4 linked regions of the Schizosaccharomyces pombe genome follow. Each later gene encodes a partner of the first gene's protein in a complex. Each region holds a gene or a part of one and is shown in the gene's direction. Other genes may lie near its edges.

Region 1 (3,552 bases):
TCTTAGATTCCTCTGGATTTTCCTTTTGCCATTGCTGTACTTTTTTTACCATACCCGGTGTGCTACTGCCACCAGCTACGTCCCCCATTAGCAAACAATAAGTAGCAGGCAATTGAAATGGAACAACATCTGACCATTTTTTAGAAACTATTTTTCTCAGTTCGGTGGAAAAATTTATGTTCTTTATTTGTTCGTCGTATGGGACCAGCAGTTGTTCAATTAATTTAGGATCAAACCTTCTATAAATACAACTTCCCCAAGTGGCAGCGCCAACATCAAACCCACTTCCTACTTTTCCTTGTGCAGAACAGTGGGCAATTTGTGCCAGATTGTGAACTATGACTTTGGTTGAATCATCAATTTTGAGAGATTTGTCACCAGTGTCATCTGTTAGTCGTCTAAGACTTAAAAATAATGAACCTATAAGACTTGTAATCATAGCTGCCGAGCTTCCTAAACCAGTCTTATGTACTTGACCTAAAGTACAGTTTAAGAAATTGAATTTTGGATAGCTTGTTTGATCAGGCTTTAACTGTGGTTGGTGATAATAGGCATTATCTACCTGCAATGTAACTTGAAGATCTTGCCAGCATAAAGGTTGTCGCCCCGTGGAAAAAAAGTAGTTAATTACATAAAAAAGTGCCAGTTGAACGAAGGGGTTTGGATTTTTTTCCAATTCACAGTTTTCATATATCTGATGAACTCGAATAGGAGATACAGTCCAATCAATATTATAAAGCCATTCAGCGTTAATGAATTGAGGGCTTTTCACACGAACCGTTCCACATTTATCGTCCAAAGTCGTTGTGGAAGCGTACCCTTTGGCAGTTAAACCAATAACAAGCCCGCTGTATTGAGGATCTAAAACAATGTATCCACCAGCTATAAGTACTTTACCAGGAGCAGAGCAGGTCCTGCCAAAGACGCTAGTTAGAGATGGACAAAACAGAAAAAAAGAAAAAAGACTGGTTTCAACTTACACTTTCATGTTGATATATTTTTGTCTTGAATATGGATATCTCTATAATGTTTTGTGTGTCGTAACTTTTTTATAGGACCTGAGAAGGAAATAGAAAGGAATGTATGACTTCTATCTTACGTGATAATCTGTTGAATTTAGAGAAATGATATATCAGTCAAAGTAAAAGAGAGGATTATCTTCGAACAGTAGCTCCTGAAAAGTGTTATTCTAAAAATCAAAAAAAATAAAAAAAGAACTGATCAAAGAGTATCAAATGTTATACAGAAACTAAAGTTGCTTTGAGTAAATCAACTTTCTAAATCATTATCGTATCGTTCGTTTCGCAAGATTTGCTTGTGGAGAAAATAGTATAGAAAATTAACGTTAATTAAGGAGAGTTCGAAATCAGGAATACAGAGATTACATTAACGCATATTCATATTAGAGTATATAATTGATTGCATATAAAATAATATCTTTTACGAAAATGGAACATTAAGGTGGAAAGAAAAAAGCAAATCTTGCTATTGAAGTTTTCTGAATACCAGCGAGTTATTGATAGTATTATAACTACAATGAGAAGCCATGTAACTGAATTGGAACACGTATATTCATTCGGGTTCAACAGGAATCTTTCTATTGCCTTGAACATTCAAGGTCAGAAACACAATCCTTGATGGATAAATCATATAAAAATATATAATCAACTGTATTAACTTACATAGTCTAATATAGCGTAATGGAAGGTTGACAATAAATAACATATAACGAAATACGTTGTGCAGAATTTGCTAATTCATTTTGAATACCATCGTACTTACTTAAAAAGATACTCTGTAGAATATAGTGTTTTGTCATTCTTACTAACGAACGGTATTTAATGACTTTTGGAAGACATGTTTAATGCCAAACACTTTTTCAATTTAGGATTGGGCTTTCAATGGCTACAAAAGAGAGGTATTGGATCGTTAAAACGGCCTTATAACTTTCCAAAGCCAGTACCAGGTCCAAAGCACAAAGATGTGTTATCATTATTCGAAAAAAAGTGCCGTTCAGTATTGGATGAGCAATCTGAGCGATTCAAAATGTTTCATCGCTCGCAGCCAAATCGAGTAAGACCAGGCGCGGTTTTACTGGTTGAAAGCTACTCAAAATACCCATCAAAAGATTCAGTCAACAGATTTGCTGGTTATCTACTGCGAATTCGGCATCGTGGACCAAAAAGTTCAATCCTGTTACGAAACGTGGTAATGGGTGTTGGAGTCGAATATTTGTTACCAATTTACTCTCCACAAATTAAACGTATTGTTGTCCTCAAAGAAAATGGTCTATCTAAAAGACCTAGAAGAGCATACTTAAGTTACTTGCGTCAACCTCGCTTTCGTCTTCCACCTGTTGAATCACTGGTGCGAAAATACATTGAACAAAATCAACATAAACCTTGACACAATCATTGCAACTTCTGCAAGTAAATTTCTTTTTTTTTGCGAATCTTTCATGATTTTATTCAAGAAGCGCTGTATGATTTATAGTTCGTTTACACTCTATGTTTCCCTATCTACTTGTCTTTTTCTACAGGCTATTGCATTTAGAACTGCATTATAAGAGGCGTTGGTTGGTTTTCTGGAACAGATTTAGAGATTTGGATGTATATTTCGGCTTTAGCCTGTTTGTCAAAACACGTATTATCGATTCCATGAAACGGCAATGAATCACCTCCTTTGAGCCTTTTACCCCCTTCTCATTCTTTGAATCGACAAGTCACATGTCATTGCCATTAATTTTCCCAGATGAATTTGTGAGGCACTATGAATCAAAACCTCTACTTTTTTCTTATAAATTTGAGCTGTATGTAGGCTTGCCTCTTCATAATTCTGCGCTTTGATTATTTTGAATAATATTTGAAATTATTCATGTAAAAAAGTATAAAACTTGAGCTCAACAATATGTTATAAGCTAAAGAAGCAAAGTATCATAAATATAAAAATTTTGTTAGCATGTCGAATGTAGCCGGCTTGTTACAGTCCAATGAAAATTAGTTTTAGTTAGAAATTTTAAACTTTCAGAAAACGAAAAGATGTATAGCTAAAGCCAAATATCAACTGTAAATCTACTAACTCTTCTCTTCTTACGACATTTTGTTTTTCGCCTGAATTGTTTTCTTAATACCGTGGTAGAACGTAAAACATTAGCTAGCAAAAAACACTAATGTTTATTTAATTAGATCTCAAATACAATATACAAAGACTATGAAGGTGAAAATACTGAGTAAGCGAATATTTTGGAAATAAAATTGTTTTCTAACCACTAGGATACCATGCAATTGCTAACTGGACGTGGGATACCCCAAAAGACGACGTTTGTGGTATATGTCGTGTTCCATTCGATGGATGCTGCCCTCAATGCACAAGTCCTGGAGACAATTGCCCCATAGGTAAGAATATGTTTGTATTTATTTCCTGAATATGCTCTGCGGAGGCTTACTTGTATACTTTGCATCCTAAGGGGGTATCAGCATGAAAATTTGTTGCGCAATTGGGTTGGTTGTGTTCAAATAATCTTTAATCTAATATTCATACTTTGTTTTTGTT
Region 2 (3,726 bases), on another chromosome or scaffold:
GATTTTTAGGCTATTCAAGTGTTTGGTTTTGATCTATTTATCTATTTTATATTTTAATTTCGCATTTTATTTTGCAATGTTCAAGTTGGAACTCAAACGTATATAATCACTATTGGTAAAAGGCTCTTCAAAATGCCAGACGAAAAGTTACCTCAATACAATGAAGTTTGGAATGATTTGGAGAAGGGTTGTTTACATTCTTGTCCTTCATATTCAGTCAATAATCATGTAAACAATCCAATTGTCAAACAAAACTCAACATTAACACAACCATCGTTACGAAAAAAAAATACAATGGCTGCACCTGCTAGATTAAGAAAGCGTTCGGAAAATGTGCGACTTACACAAGCTAGATATGCGATATTTCATATCTTCCTTCCTTTCATTCTTACTTTATTGCTTTATCATAATTTTTATAATTATTTCGATCAGGCATTGGCGGATCTTAATTCTGTGGTTAAATATGTTATTGAAACTATAGTGTTAATATTTACATACGTGATGACAGTGATTATTGTTTATTGTAAGTTTTTGAGATGATTTGAATTCATGGCTAACGATTTTCTAGTTTCATTTTCGTTAATTAAATTAGCGTTTGAAGAAGCTTATGTTTATGCACCATCTGTAGCTAAAGCGAATGAAGGTCTAGCTAAACATGTAGCTAAAACGATTGCAGGCCTAGTTAAATATGTAGCTAAAGCAATTCAAGGTTTGGCTCATATTATTTTATCCTTACTGTTGTTTATTCTCGGGCTCGAAGTAATAGAACAAGATGAAGAGACTGGCGACGTTGAAATGTCGTCTATGCGAGGCCAAGCAATTACCACAGAGCCAGCAAGTGACAACACAATGGCTGAGGGAACCGATTGCAACACTTCTAAAGATGTAGAATCGGGCAGCAGCTAAAAGTCATGGCTAGAAAAAAAAATCAAGGGGCTGCCAACCAGCTGCGAGTGTCTTTTTTATTTCATTACTAATTTTCTTACTTTCCTGCAGAAGCTCCTTTTTTCCCCTTTATTTCTATTTCTTGTATTATTACCTTATACGCATTGTCACTTAATCATTTCCGATGACAGTCATCACTCTTTTTCCATACATACATTTTTGTCTCTGTTATAGAGTAAACACGATGTGTTTCTGTGGTGCTAGGAAAAGTCATTTAACTAATGAATCTGGTTGTCAATTATAAATTAATCATCCTCTTTATTGTTTTACCAAATTGATATACAATCCTTAATTATGACTTTGTAAGATTTGCGAATTAAAAAATTGAACAAGTAAGGCATTACTCAAAAGACGCAAAGTAGTGATTTAACCTTAGTTTCTGTTTAATGCATAAAATGAGGATTCCATATATCATTTTCAAGTGTTCGGAGCTTTAAAATACAGTATATACAGGAAATATAAGTTCAAACTTGTTTCTAAAACAAATAAAAATGAAAAATCAATTTGGTGTAGAGCGAAAACCTATTTTAAATAATGCGATTTCCCAATTCCTGGTCAGTAGCAATTTCTTTACAAAAAGAATTAAAAAATTATTCAATTTGTATTATATGAAATCTTTCGTATTCAAAATCTACCAACATTCAGCCCAAGCGAAAAGTAATATTTTTTGCTATGTCCATAGGTAACAATATAATTTATTTCAGAGAACACCCATTGAAATTGCTGCTTATATTAACTGTGTAACATAATATATTAGGTCACAGAGAGATTCATTGCACTTTAAGTATCGTTAAGCAGATACCGAAATACGTGAGCGACACTTTAAATAGATATTAAACTGCGTAGCTGACCAGTATTCAAATTTTCCGTCACTCACCGTATCATTAAAACATTTACTGTTTTTGGCTGCTCAACGCGCAATGCTGCCTAACATCTGTGCTAGCAAACGATATGTGTTTATTGGGCACAACGTTTATACGCGGACGCGCTATTAACAAACTTCGCATCTCTTACAAGCATATATGTAAACAGCCAATCTGTACTCGTAAAAGGAAAGAATGCTTGAAAAGAACAAGTATCTCTATATATTTAGGCATATTCAAACGAATCAGGTACTTTTATCTCAAGGAAATGTTTTAAAAAAGACTGCGTTGTTTCAACTTCCCTACCCACTTCAAAAGCCAGTCGCTCCAAATGGTATGCGACCCGCTAAGCTCCGTAAAGACCATTGGGTTCCTTTACTAAAAGTCGAATTTCCTAATGAATCAATGTTTCAATCTGTTTTTATGCAACTGTTAAACTATCGAAAATATCGTTCTGTTCAACCACTGACTAGTGACCTTTTGAAATTGCCTATACCCGTTCGTAGAAGAAAAATAATGCGACAAGAGGTTCCTAACACGATTGCGGACTTGGCAGATATTTTAAATAAAGAAAAATTTCCCGAAAATTCCGTTCGTTTGCAACTGAGTGATAAATCCGATAGTGAATATGCAGATTGGCCCCCTAGTGTGCAGATTGATTCAGAGGAAATTAAACTCTCGCGAGGTTTCCGTGAAAAAACAACCGTAGACGAAGCTAGATGAAGCATAATATCATTACTTCTCTCACTTTCTTCCTTCAAAAACACCCCTCATCCATTTTTAGGCTTTCTTAAAGGGCATTATATGAAGTATAAGCTAACACATATTCATATTAGCTCAATCTTTTTTACTTAATGATAAAGTCCTTTTTACTAAAGACGGTTACGAATTCTTCCCAGTGTATCCAGTGTATTGCACTGGACAGCTTCCTTAGCTTATCATTGTACTTCAATGCGAGAGTATTGGCTAGATACTCAAGACAAGATAAATTTAATACAAATCGACACCAAATACTCGTATCTTTATTATTTTACCATTTTGAAGTTTTCGAGCTCCTATGAAATATATGCAAGATTAACTCATCACTTTATTGCCTCGTTTTTTTTTTGTTTAAAGTTTGGTCCAGAATAAAAAAAAAATATTAGCATCTAAAATAGAAATCATGGACCAAATATTTAAATAGTTATAACAATGCCAAAAGAAAAGACTTTATAAACCAAAGACATAAATACCATAAATCGTTAAAGAGCGGTAGTTATAGTTAAACTCTTAGAGTGGATTAATGCACAAGGAGGTAATCCTTCCATAAATATTAATAAGTCATCAACATATTCCTCGCTTTTTCGAAAGCTCTTATGAGTGTCGGCCAAAGGTGCTGGTAAAACAGTAAACAATACAGAAGTATTTTTAGTATGTTTCAGCACGATTTCATTCATAATTATGTATTGAGATCTCGAGGATAAATCGTTAAACGTCAACTTCTCTTTAGAATAGTCCCTTCCTATTTTTTTCTTTGGTGCTAGTCTATCAGATGAACTATCTTCTCGGACCACGTTGGGCATCAGAGATGACTCAATAGTACTGTCAGAATAAGTTCTTCTATTTTCTTGTTTTGGTGATAAAGAACGGTTTCCGAAAGAAGATTCAGTCTCAAACGACTTTACTGAATGCATATGTGGCCCAAGGCGGAAACTCAATGGCACACTTAAAGGTGGAGCACTCTTATCAAAGCTGGCAGATCTAAAGTTATAACCAGACATACGACGTGGAAAACGAATAGGTCCTAAGGAATCTACAGTATTTCCTCTTCTTTTCTTTTCTTCCTGCCACCACGAGTCATCTTTCAGTAAGTTTTCAAGCTCGGAAGACTTGCTAGGTCTCACATGCTCATTTTTGACAATGTACCTATATGCATCCA
Region 3 (3,747 bases), on another chromosome or scaffold:
TTATCAATACGAACAATCTCTTCAGCTAATTTTTGGGCTTCGTCGAAGTTTCCTTCTTGCGCAAACAAATGATTCGCTAAACTCAACATTTGTTGCACTTCCACCGAGGGAAGCATATCAGCTCGACTAACACGTCCTCGACCTTTATGACCTTTACGGACTTTTCTAAATCCAGCAACTGCCTTTAAATTTTCTTCCCATTCCTCGTTCGCAATGTCGTCCTCGGTTCTTGAGGCTGTTTTACTAAAGTTTGATTCATCGTCACTGCCTTCATAATCTGACTCTTCGTCTGACCAAAGGCCCTCAGCTTGAAGGGCAGAGGTATCTCCCAAAAATTTTGCATCAACTTCAGATACATTCCTAGCCTCATCGACAATTTCGCTTATATACCCGTTTAGATCTTGCATTTCAGCATCAAAGTTGTCAGTTGTATCATTTTGCGTTTCATTCATATTGGAATCCACATAGCTATTTCCACCATTTTGAATCATCCTTTAAGATGCTCAATCATGCTTTCAAATCGGTCTGTTCCTTTTGCCTACTTGAAGTTGGCTGTTTTCGCGTTGGCGTTGGTGAAGGCAAAGTTGAAGTAAGTCATTATAGAAGTACTCAATAAACAAAGAGGTCATGGGTACCACATATCTTGTTCTACAATTGACTAATTAATATGAAGTCAATAAATATTAGTCCTTTTTTCCTGACACCAGTTATTTTACTTGCAACATTTTTGAATTGCAAACTTGACAATTTTGATGTTGTCAAAATACCTAATATCTGTAAGAATTTGGAAGATCCTAGTCAATCAAATAGTGTTTTTCACTTTTTTTTTTGGAAAATGGCATCTCAAGGCTTTTCATGTTGATTGACCTTTGTCAGTGTACACAGAGTATAGTATCGAAACCTTTCATAAGCAAACTAATAAGCTATATTAAACAAACGCAGATCAACCCCATCTTCGAATTGTTTTGAAACGAAAATGAACGAGTTAACAAAACAAATTTCCATAGTTGAAACTTTTCGTTGAAACTGTATATTAAATAAGATTTTTTTGGTATGTGAACTTATTTAGTAATTAATTAAGCACACATCCAAAAAGGAATGTGAGAAGAGTTTTGTGAGAAAGCAATGTTTTCCTGATACCTTGAATCCCTTAAACTCTTCATGCTCAGCAGGCTTATTACAGGTGTCGTAAATTCTAGTTTAACTTTGCTCAACTCGAAGGAAAAGCAAATTCAATTTATCAAAATTTCCAATATATTATAACGTGGTTGAAATTCTCAGTTGACCTGCCATTACTTTCAAACGTATAGAATCGGGTTTACAATGTATAAAATATTTACTACACAGATGATCAAACAATAAAACAAAGTTCTTCATTATTATAGCTAATGTGTTCAATTTCCTCTATGTTGTATTCCCTAGATCAATGTTCATTTATTTACACAGTTAACGACACCTTGGATTGTGTAAAGATTTTAGCACTGAGCGTCGCAAATTATGATTGAACTCGTTAATTCGCAGTCCATCATATTGTGAGTTCTTACCATAGGTTTAGTTGGAAATCCCCATGTTGAGTTATAATCGATTTCGGGGGTATTTGATTCCTCAAATTCATGCGTTAAAGCTGTTCAGATATGCCTCTACCGCATCTACAAGCGGTGAAAAAATTGAATCTTCCGAGAGACCCTACGATGTAGGGATGCTTCTACGACCAAAAACGAAGTTCGAGGTATGTAATATTAACACGAGGGTTACTTTTTATTTATCAAGCCTTAATTCATTTTTTACTAATTCTTATCAAGATTAAAACTTACAAACCTATATCTCCTGGTCTTCGTCATTTAAAAAGACCAGTTAGTGATTACCTTTGGAAAGGGAAACCTTTTCGACCTTTGACCGTTGCAAAAAGAAAAAAAGGTGGAAGAAATGAAACAGGAAGAATTACTGTAAGGCATCAGGGTGGTGGACACAAACAACGTATTCGTCTTGTTGACTTTGAAAGAAAAGTACCGGGTGTTCATCGAGTGATTAGAATTGAGTATGACCCTGGTAGAAGTGGTCACATTGCCCTTGTTGAAAAATTGAATTCCGAAACAGCCAACAAAAGTTATATTTTGGCTTGTGACGGGCTTCGCGAAGGCGATACAGTTGAGAGCTTTCGATCGCTTTTGAAGACTGGTTCTAATGGCGAGCCAGTAGAAATGGACCCCGTCCTAGCTGCTGAAATTGAAGATGGAACTTTTGCAGCAAAAAATTTGAAGCCAGGAAATTGTTTTCCTCTCAGATTAATTCCTATAGGAACTGTCATTCATGCCATTGGTGTAAATCCAAATCAAAAGGCAAAGCTATGTCGTTCTGCTGGCAGTAGCGCTCGTATCATAGCTTTTGATGGTAAATATGCTATCGTTCGTCTACAAAGTGGTGAAGAGAGAAAGATTTTGGATACATCATTTGCTACCATTGGTGTTGTAAGCAATATTTATTGGCAACATCGCCAGCTTGGTAAAGCCGGTCGTTCACGTTGGCTTGGCATTCGTCCTACGGTTCGAGGTACAGCTATGAATCCATGTGACCATCCACATGGTGGTGGTGGTGGTAAAAGCATTGGTAATAAACCTTCTCAATCTCCTTGGGGTGTTTTGGCTAAAGGTGGATACAAAACAAGAAGAGGTAAAAATGTTAATAAATTACTCGTCCGCGATCGTCCTCGTGGAAAGGAAAAGCGGTAATCATTTTATTAATGATCTCTGTCTTCATGACTTTTACATTTCTATGTTTTACATTACCGTAATGCATTTCAATTTTCATGATCCCTTCTCCATTTTAATAGTCGATGCTATTACCTATCCATTTGTGGACCAGATGCATTTATGTATAGTTATTTTGTGTCGACCGTCATTTATCGACGAAAAATTTTAAGCATTTTTTAAGAGTTTAGCTCTTACAATTTAAATCTGTATTGGTAATTTTTGTTCATCACAACGTTGCTTAAAGCTAAGGACTATCCCATTCAAAATTGTCGTTTGCTTACATCTACCTTAAAAGGGTTATCGATATCATTCAGGTACCAAAAGAGTATTCTATTAAACGCAGAAAAGAACGGTTTTATTTTAATATGGCCAACTAAATAAAAAAATTTTATTTATAAAATTGTAGCTAATTTAGCATATTAATTTTTTCTTGCCTTCGTCCAGCGAAAAGCGACTTAAAAGCGGATAAACTGGGTATTTAATATTTCTCTACAACACAATTAACGCTTGGAAACCCTGGAACGACGGTCTCTCCTTGATTTGCGTGGCTTGCGTCGAACTTGGAATATTCTTTCCATCAGTGTAAGGTCAGACACTTTAGGACCTAGTCGTTCATCTAATGGCGAACCCCTTTCATCTTGATTTCTACTGTGCGAAAGTGTTAGTAATTTGAATATAAAATTGAGTAAAAGGAGATTCTCAAAAGTAGAGGAAATGATTTTTGAAAAGTATGAGTGCACCCGGACTAATTTGGTTTTCACAAGTTATACCTTTTAGATTTGCTCTTCTGAGCCTTTTCTTCTCGAGGATCACCGTGAAACAGATAATATCTCGAGTAAAGATGTGCGCTTTTAACCTTCTTGTCTCCGTAGCGGGCGTAACGTATTTTGAATTGACACGTCGGTACAGTTGGGTGTGGTTTCGTTTGATATTCCAATTCCTCTGAAAATTCTGTCGGAGACTCCATAATTAAATGAAATAAAGCATTTCGTGAAAC
Region 4 (3,039 bases), on another chromosome or scaffold:
CTAAATTAAAATAGTAGAAAAAAATTGTTGAGACGTAAAAAGTGTCGCAATTATCATGAATTTACATTTATATATAAAAAAAAAGACTTAATGAATAAATCCTCGATCGTTAAATAACGCCCGAACTTATTTACTCGATCACCGCTTAAAATTCTAGACAAGTTGGGCATAGGTCCATCGATAAAACAATAGAATAGAAGAAACTATAAAACTTTTTTTTATGAGAGAACAAACAACGAAAATACAAAAAATATAACACTAAGTATTATCAATTATACAGTTACGCAAAGCAAGCATAAGACCGTTGTGAATTAAATTTACGTCCAGACAAATCAAAGGTCTCTATTAATATTAATATGCCATTCACATTAAGAGCCAAACCAAAGCGTGTTAAAGGAATACATTGAATCCGTAAATATCCTAAGTACGAACAGGTAAAGAAAGCTAAAGTAGATATCTAACAACAACAAAAAACGAAACTTGCTAGCTCAAAATCACAAAACCATATTCAGCACATTTAAACGACCCAAAACGAAAGAAGGCCTTTAAATTTCTTTGAGCGCAAAAGTAAGACTGGGAATTTAAGCAGTCTATTTGAGGACATACTTGCGAAAAGCAAAGTAAGCAACAACCATCACAAGGACAAAGAGCCACATAGCAGGCTTAACTGGTTGAGAAGAATCATATCCACTTCCACCAGCGGCAGCACCAGTTGTGGGAAGCTGAGGGCCATCTTCAGTCTAAAATATGTTAGAGTGTCGAAGCAAATTTTTACAAAAATTTTAACGAGCCTATGGCGAACGAAGAGAAAAAATAAATGACATACTCTGAGCAAGTTTCCAATGTAAAATTTTTCGAGCAACTCCTGAGCATCCTCAGAGTGACCAACATCCTCGAAAGGACCGCTAGCATCACGACCTAAAACAAGTTAATAATCACAGAAACGAACAAAAAAAAGCCCCTAGCGATGGTAGAGAAAGGCAGAAACTTTGTATAGCCAATCCAAAAGCCGTATGTGAAGAATCGAAGCGATATCGTCAATCAATCTTTCCAAAATTATGTATTTCAGTGTATTCAGAGTACTGGAAATACAAAACATCGAGTAGAGAGCGATCAATCTTGGAACATATAGACTGTACTTAACAATTCACCTTCAATGACAATGTCGCATTAAACATCGTATTTATTCAGGATATCGCATCTATTTTTGTACGTTCCTACGGCAAAGATTCGTCCTGAATCTTTCAAATTAAAGAACATGTGTATATGCGACACCTAAACTCTCGTGAAATTCAAAGTTTTGTAACGCTAGTTGTCTGAAACTTCGATTTCTACGACTCCACACAATCGCGACCAATTTTTATGCATTACAACCAATCTTCCTCAAGACCTCCATTATCGCGTACCCCTAAAAATTTACTTACCGGCCAAATCAACAAGAACCTCTTCACCACCAGGGTGAGCGTCAAGGAACTTGGAAATATCATACACCTTGTCTTTTACAACAATGTACAAATCATCACGAGTGTTATGTTTTAACACTTCTTCAACAGTAATTGTCTTCTCTGCCATGATCAAGTTCTGCTTATTCTTCCTTAAAGGTGGTATTTAACGGTTATAACCCAGGAGCTAATTACTCTCGAGATGTTGGTTGCAAATGCCCTATCGCGATTTATCTAGCAGGTGGGAAGTAGAAATGAGCCGATTCTTACTGGCAGGTGGTCACGTGGATTCGAGTTGGAAGGTACACCCAAGGATATGAACTTACCCAAAACCTATATCATTCTTCAGTTAACCAACTCCACCATTTTGGAGGTGTAGTGTTTATATTTGAATGGCAATATAATATTTAAATCAATTTAGGACGCTAATCAAGTTAATTTTTGTTCACATCTTTGCTGTTTCGTTGGAGCCGTAAACTACTTTGTGACAAACCATCAACTACTCAGAATTTGTCTATCACCCAAAAACTTAACAAAAAATTTTTATTTGCTCTTTTTGATCCAACCTTCTTCCTCTCCTTTTGATTTTATACGAAAAATATGCTGGGTGCATTTAACTCGACTTTGGCTCGCTTTGGCGGTCTTGTTCATAAAGTACCTTGGAGATTATCCCAGCGAAGAAAATATCGTCACCGTCAACGACTTCGTGCCGTCGATGAGGTGGTAGATGTTTTGCGCACGGCGTTGCAAGAGAAAAATCAATCGTGCAAACGAATTGAAAGTTTCGTTGCTAACCATCAGCCTGAATCCCAAATGTCACCAAAGGATAAATACACTATGTTTACCAGGAAGACTCAAGGTGCCGGTCTCCAAGGCTTCCGCAAGGGTGTCCATAAATCACCAAAATGGACCCGTAGTACTAATCGTGTTAATCCCACTGGCTTTTAAAAACGTCTGGTTGCAAAAGTTTACTACTTTTTTTTTCATAATTTTAATGCTCTATGAATAATAAATGTAATGGATTATTTTAATAGCTTATTTTATTACTTTTTTATTGCAAAAACTCCCACCTCTTCCTCGTCTTCGTTCATATTCAATTTCCAGTTTCATACATATTCAAACAAACGACATTAGCCTTTAGTTAGAGTAAAGTTCATATCACCTCTATTATACGTCTCTTTAATTCTTTGCTCTGTAAAACAATACATAAGCAGACGATGTGACAATATCCTCCGGATCTATTTCACAAATAGCTGTATCATCAAACTTAAAGAATGTTTGGCTCGATGCATCTCTTGCATAGGCAGTATAATGACCATTACTCATAAACCCGTGATGATTGTCCACTGCATACAAATCGTAAAGCATCGATTTCTGTGACGATAGCCACTCATGATCTTTTATAAATGGACTCAAAAATTGCTTCAAATTGAGATCAAATACTGGATAAACTACTAAATCCCTTCGTTTACGTCTTCTCCGCAAATCTCCACCGTGGCCGCTGAATCGATTTAAATGAATGACTAGTATTTTTGGCAATCGCCAGATCTCCAGCCGTTTTGTTGCCGGTCGAAATGCCTTACACCCAGGACAATAC

What was found.
Region 2: img1 (region 1) and mhr1 share a complex: the UniProt entries of both Schizosaccharomyces pombe proteins name them as parts of the mitochondrial large ribosomal subunit.
Region 3: img1 (region 1) and rml2 share a complex: the UniProt entries of both Schizosaccharomyces pombe proteins name them as parts of the mitochondrial large ribosomal subunit.
Region 4: img1 (region 1) and mrpl31 share a complex: the UniProt entries of both Schizosaccharomyces pombe proteins name them as parts of the mitochondrial large ribosomal subunit.

What each region holds. Positions count from the first base shown.
Region 1 is NC_003424.3:1,639,898-1,643,449, forward strand, and holds img1 (mitochondrial 54S ribosomal protein bL19m), read left to right. Parts: upstream 1-1,797; 5' UTR 1,798-1,857; coding exon 1,858-2,406; 3' UTR 2,407-3,035; downstream 3,036-3,552. Other genes in the region: erg8 (phosphomevalonate kinase), read right to left, coding at 1-914, 981-988; anaphase-promoting complex ubiquitin -protein ligase E3 subunit Apc11, read left to right, coding at 3,211-3,229, 3,273-3,395. UniProt on the Schizosaccharomyces pombe protein: Component of the mitochondrial ribosome (mitoribosome), a dedicated translation machinery responsible for the synthesis of mitochondrial genome-encoded proteins, including at least some of the essential transmembrane subunits of the mitochondrial respiratory chain.
Region 2 is NC_003423.3:1,799,536-1,803,261, reverse strand, and holds mhr1 (mitochondrial 54S ribosomal protein mL67 ), read left to right. Parts: upstream 1-1,971; 5' UTR 1,972-2,003; coding exon 2,004-2,531; 3' UTR 2,532-3,049; downstream 3,050-3,726. Other genes in the region: SPOM_SPBC18H10.18C (uncharacterized protein), read left to right, coding at 133-523, 569-906; vacuolar membrane cation-chloride cotransporter Vhc1, read right to left, coding at 3,050-3,726. UniProt on the Schizosaccharomyces pombe protein: Component of the mitochondrial ribosome (mitoribosome), a dedicated translation machinery responsible for the synthesis of mitochondrial genome-encoded proteins, including at least some of the essential transmembrane subunits of the mitochondrial respiratory chain.
Region 3 is NC_003421.2:694,355-698,101, forward strand, and holds rml2 (mitochondrial 54S ribosomal protein uL2m), read left to right. Parts: upstream 1-1,557; 5' UTR 1,558-1,567; coding exon 1,568-1,729; exon of another isoform or gene 1,730-1,753; intron 1,754-1,802; coding exon 1,803-2,729; 3' UTR 2,730-3,128; downstream 3,129-3,747. Other genes in the region: transcription factor TFIIIC subunit Sfc4, read right to left, coding at 1-491; RNA cap binding protein cbc3, read right to left, coding at 3,251-3,398, 3,521-3,747. UniProt on the Schizosaccharomyces pombe protein: Component of the mitochondrial ribosome (mitoribosome), a dedicated translation machinery responsible for the synthesis of mitochondrial genome-encoded proteins, including at least some of the essential transmembrane subunits of the mitochondrial respiratory chain.
Region 4 is NC_003421.2:886,816-889,854, forward strand, and holds mrpl31 (mitochondrial 54S ribosomal protein mL60), read left to right. Parts: upstream 1-1,770; 5' UTR 1,771-2,042; coding exon 2,043-2,390; 3' UTR 2,391-2,480; downstream 2,481-3,039. Other genes in the region: oca8 (cytochrome b5), read right to left, coding at 591-740, 827-918, 1,425-1,572; ubiquitin hydrolase Ubp1, read right to left, coding at 2,622-3,039. UniProt on the Schizosaccharomyces pombe protein: Component of the mitochondrial ribosome (mitoribosome), a dedicated translation machinery responsible for the synthesis of mitochondrial genome-encoded proteins, including at least some of the essential transmembrane subunits of the mitochondrial respiratory chain.